2 linked regions of the Drosophila melanogaster genome follow. The protein of the gene in region 1 interacts with the protein of each later gene in a pairwise test. Each region holds a gene or a part of one and is shown on either strand. Other genes may lie near its edges.

Region 1 (5,828 bases):
TGGGAGTTGTAAGTTTTGAGTTCTCGATTGAAAATGTTTGGATAATAGCAATCTGCTTTCTTTCCAGCCCTACAAAGTCACGCATCCCGGGCAACTGGACCTCTATGGTTGTGTTCAGTATCCTAGTGAGTCGTTGGAGATTTCCGATCATGCCAAGGATCTGCTGGAGCAACTGCTGCAGCTTTCTCCGGAGCTACGTTTGGACTACGACCAATTGCAGGCTCATCCATTCTTCAAAGGCATCGATTGGCAGGCGGTTTTGGAGCAGGGAACTGAGTCCATGTGAAAATAGGCACTATTTGCTTTGCTATTGAGTCCGTAAAGTATTTTCTTATTTCGTACTGTACCTGAAATCCCATTTGTGATTCCTTGCTCAGTTCTGATTGGCATTGATTTTGATTACTTTCAAAGAATCTGAAGTCGCTCCATAGCGATTAATTATGTTGTGAATCTGCTATATTATTTTCTATGCATTACTTTTAATACTTGTCTTCGAAAACAAGTGTATTAACCATCAGTTTTGTTTTTATGAGTCTTTTATGTTGTTCCTTTTTTGAATTGGAAGCTGATCAATTATTGGTACAAAATACGATTTATTTATACGTCTATTATATACATTTGCAAAGTGTCCTAGTTTATGTAATTGCTTACAATTAGAAATTAAACTAAATTGAATGTAGTTGTAACAAAATTTGCAAGCCATTTTACAAAATTAGTAAGTAATAAAATTTGTAAAGCCAAATGAGCTAGTATACAATATAAAAAGCACTTTATTGTCTAACTACAGCAAAAACAGCAAATGGAACTTAGTCTACGAGTAGAATAACTAAAACTAAGTTTGTTGGGCAACGAAGCTTTCCAATTTGGAGGGAGGTCACTCGTCACCCGTTTTGGTAAGGCACATTTGGAATGCATTCTGGGGGCGGGGCTCTCGTTGCAGAGCCCCTAGCCCTAGATTAACCTAGACTTAGACAGGCATAATAACCTCATTATGATTTGGCAAGACTTGTGGATTCCGTTGTTGTTGCAACTTGCGTCATTAAACCTAAAAGGAACCTATGGCAATATGAAAACAGTGGCTAGAAACTGTGTGGGACTGGCTAGAAAAACTCCAAGGGATTGGAAATATAAACTAAAAAAACAATATTATCAAATTAAATATAAAATTTGTGGACTCTCGCCAAATTTTTTGAAAGCAACTAGTTTTAAGTAATCCGATGATGAATTCTACTACTTATGAGGCTTTATCTTTGGGAATCCGCTTTTCTGGAGCCCCACTTTCAGTCGGAGAAACACAGTTGGAAATGCTGCACACGCCACGCCTCCATCCCTTCAAAATGGCCGACGGAAACGGGCGTTCGGCGTGCTGATGGGCGTGGCCCAGCGTCGCTGGTGTTGTTGCTGTCGCCGGTGTGTGAGCATTTCTCTCAGTGCAAAAAAGGCGGCAGGACGTAGCTCTGTCCCTGCTGCTGCTGCTGCTGTTGGGAGACCTCCTCGCTCTTGATCACAGTCTGCATGCCGCCGCTGTCGTTGTCATCGCTGCTGGTGCCGCCCGCGGATGCAGCTCCTCCCGTCGCCGTGGTCACATAGTGCTGGCCCTGCGCCTCCACCAGATGACAGCTGGCGCCGGGACTTAGCTCCAGACCACCTCCACTCTGATGGCACTGCAGGTGCACGTATTTGGCCTCCTCGGCGCTCAGGTACTTGCCATTGAGTTGCTGCTGCTGCTGCTGCTGCTGTTGGTGGGCATGGACGGTGACCAGTGTGCCGTCGGCCAGTTGCTGCTGCTGGGCGGTCTGCAGTTCCGCCGTCTGATAGCTGCCGCCATTGGCCACCGACTCATCTCCGTTTCCGGCCACCGAACCGGTTGTGGCGCCCATTTCCATGCGCGTGGGACTACCGTACTCGTAGTGACGCATCGGGAAGAGCTGGCTTTCGTGCACATAGGCACCGTACTGGCCGGAATAGGTGCCATACGGACTGGCCGCCGGCGAGAGCAGGCTGAACTGGGGCGTCAGTTCGTAGGGCGTCTGGTAGCTGGTCCAGCTGTCCATGCTGCCCGGCGGCGTGACCGTCGTCGTCTGCGGGTAGCTAGTGAATGGTGGGGCTAGGGTTCCGGGATTCAGTGTCGCCGTCGGCGGAGTGCTCGTCTTGATGTAGCCCGTCTTGCGCGGTGGCTCGTGCTTGCGCCACTTGGCCCGTCGGTTCTGGAACCACACCTGCACACGGGATTCGCTCAGATTCAGCTTGATGGCCAGCTCCTCGCGGGCGAAAACATCCGGATACGGAGCACGTTCAAAGGCACGCTCCAACTCCTCCAGCTGGTAGGCAGTAAAGGTGGTTCTGAAGGTAAAAATGGAAAGTATAGAGGATTAGATGAAAGTCTGAATGGGATTCATACAGTTAGTTGGTCATATAATAGGGATTAAAAAAAGGGAAAAATGAAAAAACCCATAGTATCTATTTATATTACAAAAAAGTTCTAAACTGAAACTATATTTTAGAATATTAGAAAATTCTATAGAGATAACCATGTTCTGTGGATCTATCTATCTGCTATCGGTACTCATTATTTAATAATTAGCCCCCCAGATTGCACGGGTTTCCGTGCGAGTTGCTAGCAATGTCCTTACTCCAAATTACTCATACGCCCCGTGGTCACGGTCATAAATAGCAAGTGCTATCATCTTGTGCCACATAATTTCATTGATTTCCCGTCGTTAAATTAATTGACAGCGTAGCAGCTTCGACCGCTTACCTCGTCTTCTTCTTCTTGATGCCATTGGGATCGCCCTTCTTCTTGCTGCTGCTTCCGTCCTTTTTGGCTGCAGGAGCTGCCACGCCCCCCGCTGTGCCCGCCGCCCCCTGAATGCCGACGCCAGCGGAGGAGGAGGAGTTGGCGTTGCCAGTGCCATTGGTGGTGCCATTAACCACCGTGGAGGAACTACTTGGCGGAGTAACTCCAGCACCACCCGCCTCCAACTGCGAACACATCTCATCGGGCTTCTTTAGCTTGCCACCAGCGGATCCTCCGTTGATCATGACGGGCGAGGAGTCCTGGAGCAAGCCATCACTGCCATGATCCAAATGGTCCAGATGATGCGGACTGCCGCCGTACAGATGCTGCAGCTGCTGCGGCTCGTACTGATCTTTGGGCGACGAGGAGTAGTCCAGCTTGCCATTGAGCGGATGATAGTCCAGGATGCCCACCAGCTGTTGCTGCTGCTGCTGTTGCTGCTGGGAGGATTGCTTGTGCAGCAGGATGCCATTGTGGCTGGGCGGGGGCGTGGCCGTGTAGTGCTGATGATGTTGATGATGATGCTGCTGCTGCTGCTGCTGCTCCACCAGTTTTTGCGGCGCACTAATGTACTCGTACTTCTGGCTGGGCGAGTAGCAGCCCATCTTGTTGACAAAATCCAGCTTGGTCACATAGTTGGGCGATCCTCCAGCGCCGCCAGATCCTGCTCCTCCTCCTCCGCCATTCGGCAGTATGGTGTTGCAGTCGGGCAATCGTTGCTGCTGCTGCTGCTGCTGCTGTTGGCTGCACAACTCGTGGACACTGCCCAGCATCACGGGATGCATGGCCGTTGTGGTGGGCATCAGTGGCTTGGCGCCCAGTGGATTGAGTGGCCCGCCGCCGAACTCCCCGAAAATGGGATCATCGAAGCTATCGTGTTCCATTCTCCTCCACGACTTTAATCCTTGGAACGCACAGTAACAGCACACAAGACACACTAACTAGCTAACAACACTTTTGCCACTGCGACACTTTCAATCCATTTAGTGTATTATTTGGTTGATTTTCAACTCGATTATCGCTGCTGAGTTTCCAAATCAATCAGTTGTTAATTGCATTTGGCAAGCACATAACTGGGCTGCTGTTGCTACTTTTCTATCGGTTAGGATGTTGAATATATATATATATATATATGTATATATGGGAGTAGAGCCGCACGCTCACCGCTCGAGTCTTTGGCCTTAATTGACTCGGCTACTGGCGATGATTGTCCTTTTATACCGGCGCAGGCGGCAGCGCAGCAGCAGCGCTGGCAGCGACCAATCGCATCGCTCCATCGGCCGCCACTATCGCCGTGCGAGCGGGACGGCGCATGCGAACGCCGCTCTGTGCGTTTCATGCTGGCGTGTGTGACTTTTCCGCTTGCCCAGCGATTCGACGATTTTCCATTCAGCGGGGTGTGGTCTCCCCTACTTTGCGATTTTTTCTTCTTTTTTCTGTTTTTTTATTTTTGACTGGGTCTAGCTGCCTGGGTCCAGTTTTTGGTCTTCAGCTTCGCGGGCACACGGCTACCAGCAGATCGAGATGTTCTGGGAACGGAAGAGCACGACGGGATGATGGGGTCCTGGGAACCGGGACTTGCATCTCTACTGGCTCTCAGTTCTTAGAGCGGATTTAAGGACTCTAATGGCACGCTGATCTTATTGTTATCCTACTATTGAATTATGTTTTATTTATAATGAGGATATAGAATCATGAAAGCATAGTCATATTAGGAGATATCATATAAATGAACTGATTGTGTTCTGTTACCATGCAGTTACAAACTATCGCATACCTATTAATAATAATGTATGGTACAGAAGATAATCTATGGTATGATCTATGATTCGATATATGGAGATAAGGTATCTATAAGATTGGGGGCCGAAATAAGAAGAATGTTGAACGATTTGAAGGATTAAGTTTATGTCTGGTATATATACTATACTATCTTTTCAAATGTTTTCGATTTCAGAACCGTTTATCAAACTAGTGGGAATAGTTATAGCCATATTAAAGCATTCAATTTTGGCGAAGAGATGAAAATTACTATGCTGCTTTCTAATCGTTCTAAAGATCGTATCACAGATAAAACCTAAAAAGGGGGGTTTTTAACATCCACTATATTTCCATATGCACTTATGTATGTACAATCCCAATTTAGCGGCTTCTTGTTGGCAATCCATTGATACAGATTAATTTCGCCCAAAGTTGAGAGAGCCCATCTATTTCGCGTCCACCTCATGGTCATCGCTATCCGTAACAATGCACCTTCATCGTCACACATGTTGGACGAACAATTAACTTCTAGCCGAGGAATTCCGATGGTCGTGGTTCCAATTGGACTCATGAGGGTGGTTCCATTCGAGGTTGCAACCCCTGTAAGGCAGCGACTTGGTGGCACGCTTGTGACCTTCTTCTTCCACTTCAGCCCGTTTCCACACCCTGATCGCTCGATCTTCCCACAGCGCGTGTCACCCTCTCAAGGATTGGCATGCTCCCCTTTCCTCCAGTCCGCTGTTGCGTGTGACCTTTTGGCCAGATGCTGGTACTTCGATCGCGCCGAGGTGGGCACTTAGTCAGGGGCTAAGTTATGGCTCATTTGGACAGATCCGAAGATTTCACGGAGCATTTGAATGGGAAGTGGGAAGAAGGCTGCCGAATCATGTGGGCATTGCAATCGAAGAGGGTGAAAGTGGGTAGAGCTATACATTCATTGGGATCGGTGATCTTTAAGAGTTACTTATTTAGATATTTACTTAAAAAACCCATATGAAAATATTTCTAACATATTCAATGGACAAATCATCATCAATCCAATTTGAAGTGCAAATTTGGTGATAATATTTGGAAATATATTGGGTGTTGAAAAATTTATAGCTTCGTTATTTTTTTTTTTACCAAGAAAAAATAAGTATCTGATGTCAAATGAATATTAATTCTTCAAAAGCAAACAAAAAACATTAACTTTTTCTTAGTTGTTAAGGAAGTTAACGAGCAATTTTGGTGTCTAAATTAAGACAAAGTTGCACAATCCAATGGCAAAGTT
Region 2 (4,356 bases), on another chromosome or scaffold:
TAGTTGGTCTTGGGTTTACCCGTGATACCTTATCAATGCATTTTCAGTGCTTAATTAATCTTTAGTTTTCAAAACATTCTCGTCAATTTGATTGATTTTAACTATATTTGTAACTGAGTACGTCCATTTGGCAGAAATGTCAGCCCTATTTTAAACTAGTTTACTTAATATTGCATCTAGAATTATGCTAGGTTTTAATTCTTCAGTTTATCGCTTCGAAAAACTAGTAATGAGTGAACCGACCAGCGCATAGAATATAAAATATGTACCTTTTTTGAAAACAACGAAGGGGCGGGAATATATTTTTTTAACCTTTAACGCAAAAGCCTCCGTTTATGATCATCAATTTCGTTTGGAAAAAAAAAAAAAAAAACAACAAAGGCTGTATGTATTATTTTATCCCAATACTTAACTTAGTCCATAGCGATACGAACTACATGTTTAGAGCTAAGAATCCCGGGTAGAATGCACACGCTGGCAAGGATTAGAGCCCAGACTCATCTGGACTTGGATCGCTGACAGCTTGGAACCCTCTCCGTTTAGGAAACCCCAATAAAGGACACTTTTGTACCGCAAATCAATCGTTTTATGCATCTGCCTTCTGGTTTCTTACGATTATTAATTCATTTCCAATCTTCTGATTTCTCTCATTTATTATGGCGCAATTTGGAACTTATAGATGAACTACATCTAACCTTATATTAATCCTAGCTAGCTACTCAGTTGGCCAGGCGCCAAGTGGTGGGTGCAGTCTCGGTTTGCTTTACCAGCTGCTCCTCCACATTGAGGTCGATGGCCATGGTGATGGTGGTGGTGGGCGGACTCTTGCCCTCGATCACCTCGATGGTGACCGATTGCGGCAGCGGCTTCACAGCTCCCTTAACTCTCGCCGGATCATGGCTGCGCATGTGGGCATTTAGACCGCCGGACTGGGCGAACGTCTTGCCGCACAATTTGCACGCGTACTTGCGCTGCTCAGAGTGGAGCAGCTTGTGCACCCGCAGCGCCTTCTTCCGTTGAAACGTGGAGCCGCAAACGTCGCAGACGAAGGGCCGCAAATTGGTATGCGATACAGCATGGACATTGAGGTCATGAAAGCTATAGAATGCCTTGCCGCACACCTCGCATTTGGCCGGCCTTTCGCCCGTATGGCGACGCATATGCGCCGTGAGAACGCCTCGATCTCGGCAAGGTCGTCCGCACACCTCGCAGATGCAGGGCATGCGACCAGTATGGCAGATACTGTGCGAGGAGAGCTCCTTTTGCGTGTAAAAGGTCGCGTCGCATTCCGGACACTTGTGCGGCTTGATGCCACTGTGTCGCTGGCGGTGGCGCATCATGTTGCCCGACTGGGTGAAGGGTTTGCCGCAAATGTCGCAGAAGATTCCCGTGTGCTTCCAGCGATGGCCGCGCAGATCGCGTTCGGTGCGAAATGTCTGGTTGCAGGCTTCCTCGTTGCATTTGTACACCTTCGGCGGACCTTTCCGCTTCTTGCTATTGCGTTCACTGGCGGATTTGTCCAGACTTCCGCCGTTGGCTTCGCTGTGCTTTAGGCGGCGATGGCTCTGCAGGCTGCGTTTGGTGTTGTACGCCCGGTCGCACTGATCGCATTGGAAGAGCATGTCCTTCGTGTCGTTGCTGTCCTTCGTGTCATCATCATCCGATTCCCCCTCCTCCTCCTCGTGAGTTTCATTATGCTCCGACTGCTCGCCGCCCGTCCAGTCGAGTTCGATGTCCAGCAAATCCTCGCGAGTCTCCACCAGGGTGTTCTTCATGGCCGCTGCACGCTGGTAATGCTGGCGTTTGGAACCTTCCTCCTTCTCCTCCTCCTCCTCCTCTAAGTCCGGGCTAGCTTCCTTTGCCAGTTCCTCATGTAGCTCCTCATTTCCCTGTACTTCGACGACGTCCTGGGCAATGGGATCGCTTTCCAGTTCGTTGGAACACAGCGAGCTGGAGCTGTTCGTGAAGTGTTTCAGCCGGAAGTGTTCCGGGTAGCCGTCCAACGGCAAACGCTGGTCGCACAGCAAGCAGCTCACTTCGTAGGAGGCGGGTGCACTGAATAAGACCTCGCCGCAACGCAGATTGTGGTAGCCACCGGCCACATCCGGCGGTGGCTGCACCTTGATCATCGCGGCTTGCTCCCTGGTCTGCCTGTGTGGAAGTGGCGGTCAACTGGCTCCGGATTAGCAGAGGATTCCAGCCGTTGGCGTCGCTTTTTTGTAAGTGTTTGTTTCAAGGGGGTGGGGAAGGGTGGTTTTCCCCAGCTGATGGTAGTGTTGGCTAACGAACCGCAGTGTTGAGCTTACCTTGGTTGTGGCGCCACATTTGAAATGGTATTTACTCCGATAAGTTCGTTATCACAAGTAGTTTCTAGTCATAACTTGGCGGAAAATCATCATGCAGCTTAAAGAATAACTGTTTTGAACAGCCAATTATCACTACTAACGAACCCTATCACTTTTGGGCGGGCATAGAAAAATTTATTTTTGTGTCATATTTTTCATGTTTTTTAAGGGGTAACATTAAATTAAAATTTGCAAAAAAATGGAAAAATTTTGAATTCGCAAATTTGAATGCAATTCGATTGGAAATTTCATTACGAGTTCAACGAGATATGACATACCATATTTGGTCAATTATTTTCAAAGTTCTGGGCAAAAAACTGATTATTTTATGAGGGAAATTCGGAAAACCGGCTTTTAACAAAAACAGAACAAAAATTTAACAAATTTTGACGCCAATTTTCATCAATACCTTGTCATATTGATGAAAATTAATAATAATAACATCGTCACAATCTTTTATCAAGTTCTCCGAAAATAAAGGATATGTAACGGTACATTCTGCCATTTACCAACGGTAAAACTTATCGATAACCGACCGCGCCTATCGCTGTGTATTCGGATTTTCGTATTCGAGTATACACTTTTTTTCGGATTGATTTTTCGCTGTCCAATTGGAGAAGTTCGAACGGGATAGGACACACAATCCCCGAGAGATATCCATAGAAGCGCCATCTCAGAGCAACCATGTCGGAGGCGGCGGTGCCAGCGAGCAATGCGAACGCGAATGCCACTGAAAAGATGGCCAGTTTGGTGCGAGAGGCGGAGAATTTGAAGACCAAACTGGAGGAGGAGCGCCAGAAGCTGAACGACGTCAATCTGTCGAACATCGCAGAGCGGCTGGAGCAGATCGCCTATGTGAACATCAAGCCGCGTAAGGTGCTCAAGGGCCACCAGGCGAAGGTCCTGTGCACCGACTGGAGTCCCGACAAGCGTCACATCATCTCCTCGTCGCAGGACGGACGTCTGATCATCTGGGATGCGTTCACCACGAACAAGGAGCACGCCGTCACCATGCCCACCACCTGGATTATGGCCTGTGCCTACGCGCCGTCGGGCAATTTTGTGGCCTGCGGCGGACTAGACAATAAGGTCACCGTGTATCCGATAACCTCCGATGAGGAGATGGCCGCCAAGAAGCGCACAGTGGGCACCCACACCAGCTACATGTCGTGCTGCATCTATCCGAATTCCGATCAGCAAATCCTCACGGGCAGTGGCGATTCCACATGCGCTTTGTGGGACGTGGAATCGGGCCAGCTACTGCAAAGCTTCCACGGACATTCCGGCGATGTAATGGCCATCGATTTGGCTCCCAACGAAACGGGCAACACCTTTGTCTCGGGCAGTTGCGATCGCATGGCCTTCATCTGGGACATGCGCTCTGGTCATGTCGTTCAGTCCTTCGAGGGTCATCAATCGGATGTGAATAGCGTTAAGTTCCATCCTTGCGGAGATGCCATAGCCACTGGATCGGATGACAGCAGCTGCCGGCTGTACGATATGCGAGCGGATCGCGAGGTGGCCGTGTTCGCCAAGGAGAGCATCATCTTTGGCGTCAATTCGGTGGACTTTTCGGTCAGTGGAAGATTACTGTTTGCTGGCTACAACGATTACACCGTCAACTTGTGGGACACGCTGAAATCGGAAAGGGTCTGCCTGCTGTACGGGCACGAGAACAAGGTGTCCTGCGTCCAGGTCTCGCCCGATGGCACCGCTCTATCCACCGGCAGTTGGGACTACACCATACGGGTGTGGGCCTAAGCCATGTGGCACCTTATTGTTGGGGGATGCATTTGTCCAGGACAGATGCCGTCTCGCTTTGTTTTCCCTCTCTTCTGATTTGTTTTTTTTTTTTTTTTTTGTGTTGTGCATCGCATCTCTAGGATAGTTAAGTTACGGATTCGGTGATCCCCCAAGTGTGTACATATGTCTCATGTCGGGATTGCCAGCATGGATGTCTTGGTTACCGCAGTGTTATGCTTACTACCAGCTGCTGTACCAAATTGAATCT

The links.
Region 2: the proteins of repo (region 1) and CG18262 interact in a two-hybrid assay, tested with the Drosophila melanogaster proteins (one large-scale study listed by BioGRID).

The regions. Positions count from the first base shown.
Region 1 is NT_033777.3:18,234,350-18,240,177, reverse strand, and holds repo (reversed polarity), read right to left. Parts: upstream 3,987-5,828; 5' UTR 3,682-3,986; coding exon 2,759-3,681; intron 2,344-2,758; coding exon 1,428-2,343; 3' UTR 576-1,427; downstream 1-575. Other genes in the region: CG7156 (uncharacterized protein), read left to right, coding at 1-8, 68-286.
Region 2 is NC_004354.4:8,150,817-8,155,172, reverse strand, and holds CG18262 (uncharacterized protein), read right to left. Parts: upstream 2,226-4,356; 5' UTR 2,130-2,225; coding exon 720-2,129; 3' UTR 640-719; downstream 1-639. Other genes in the region: Gbeta5 (G protein beta subunit 5), read left to right, coding at 3,030-4,106.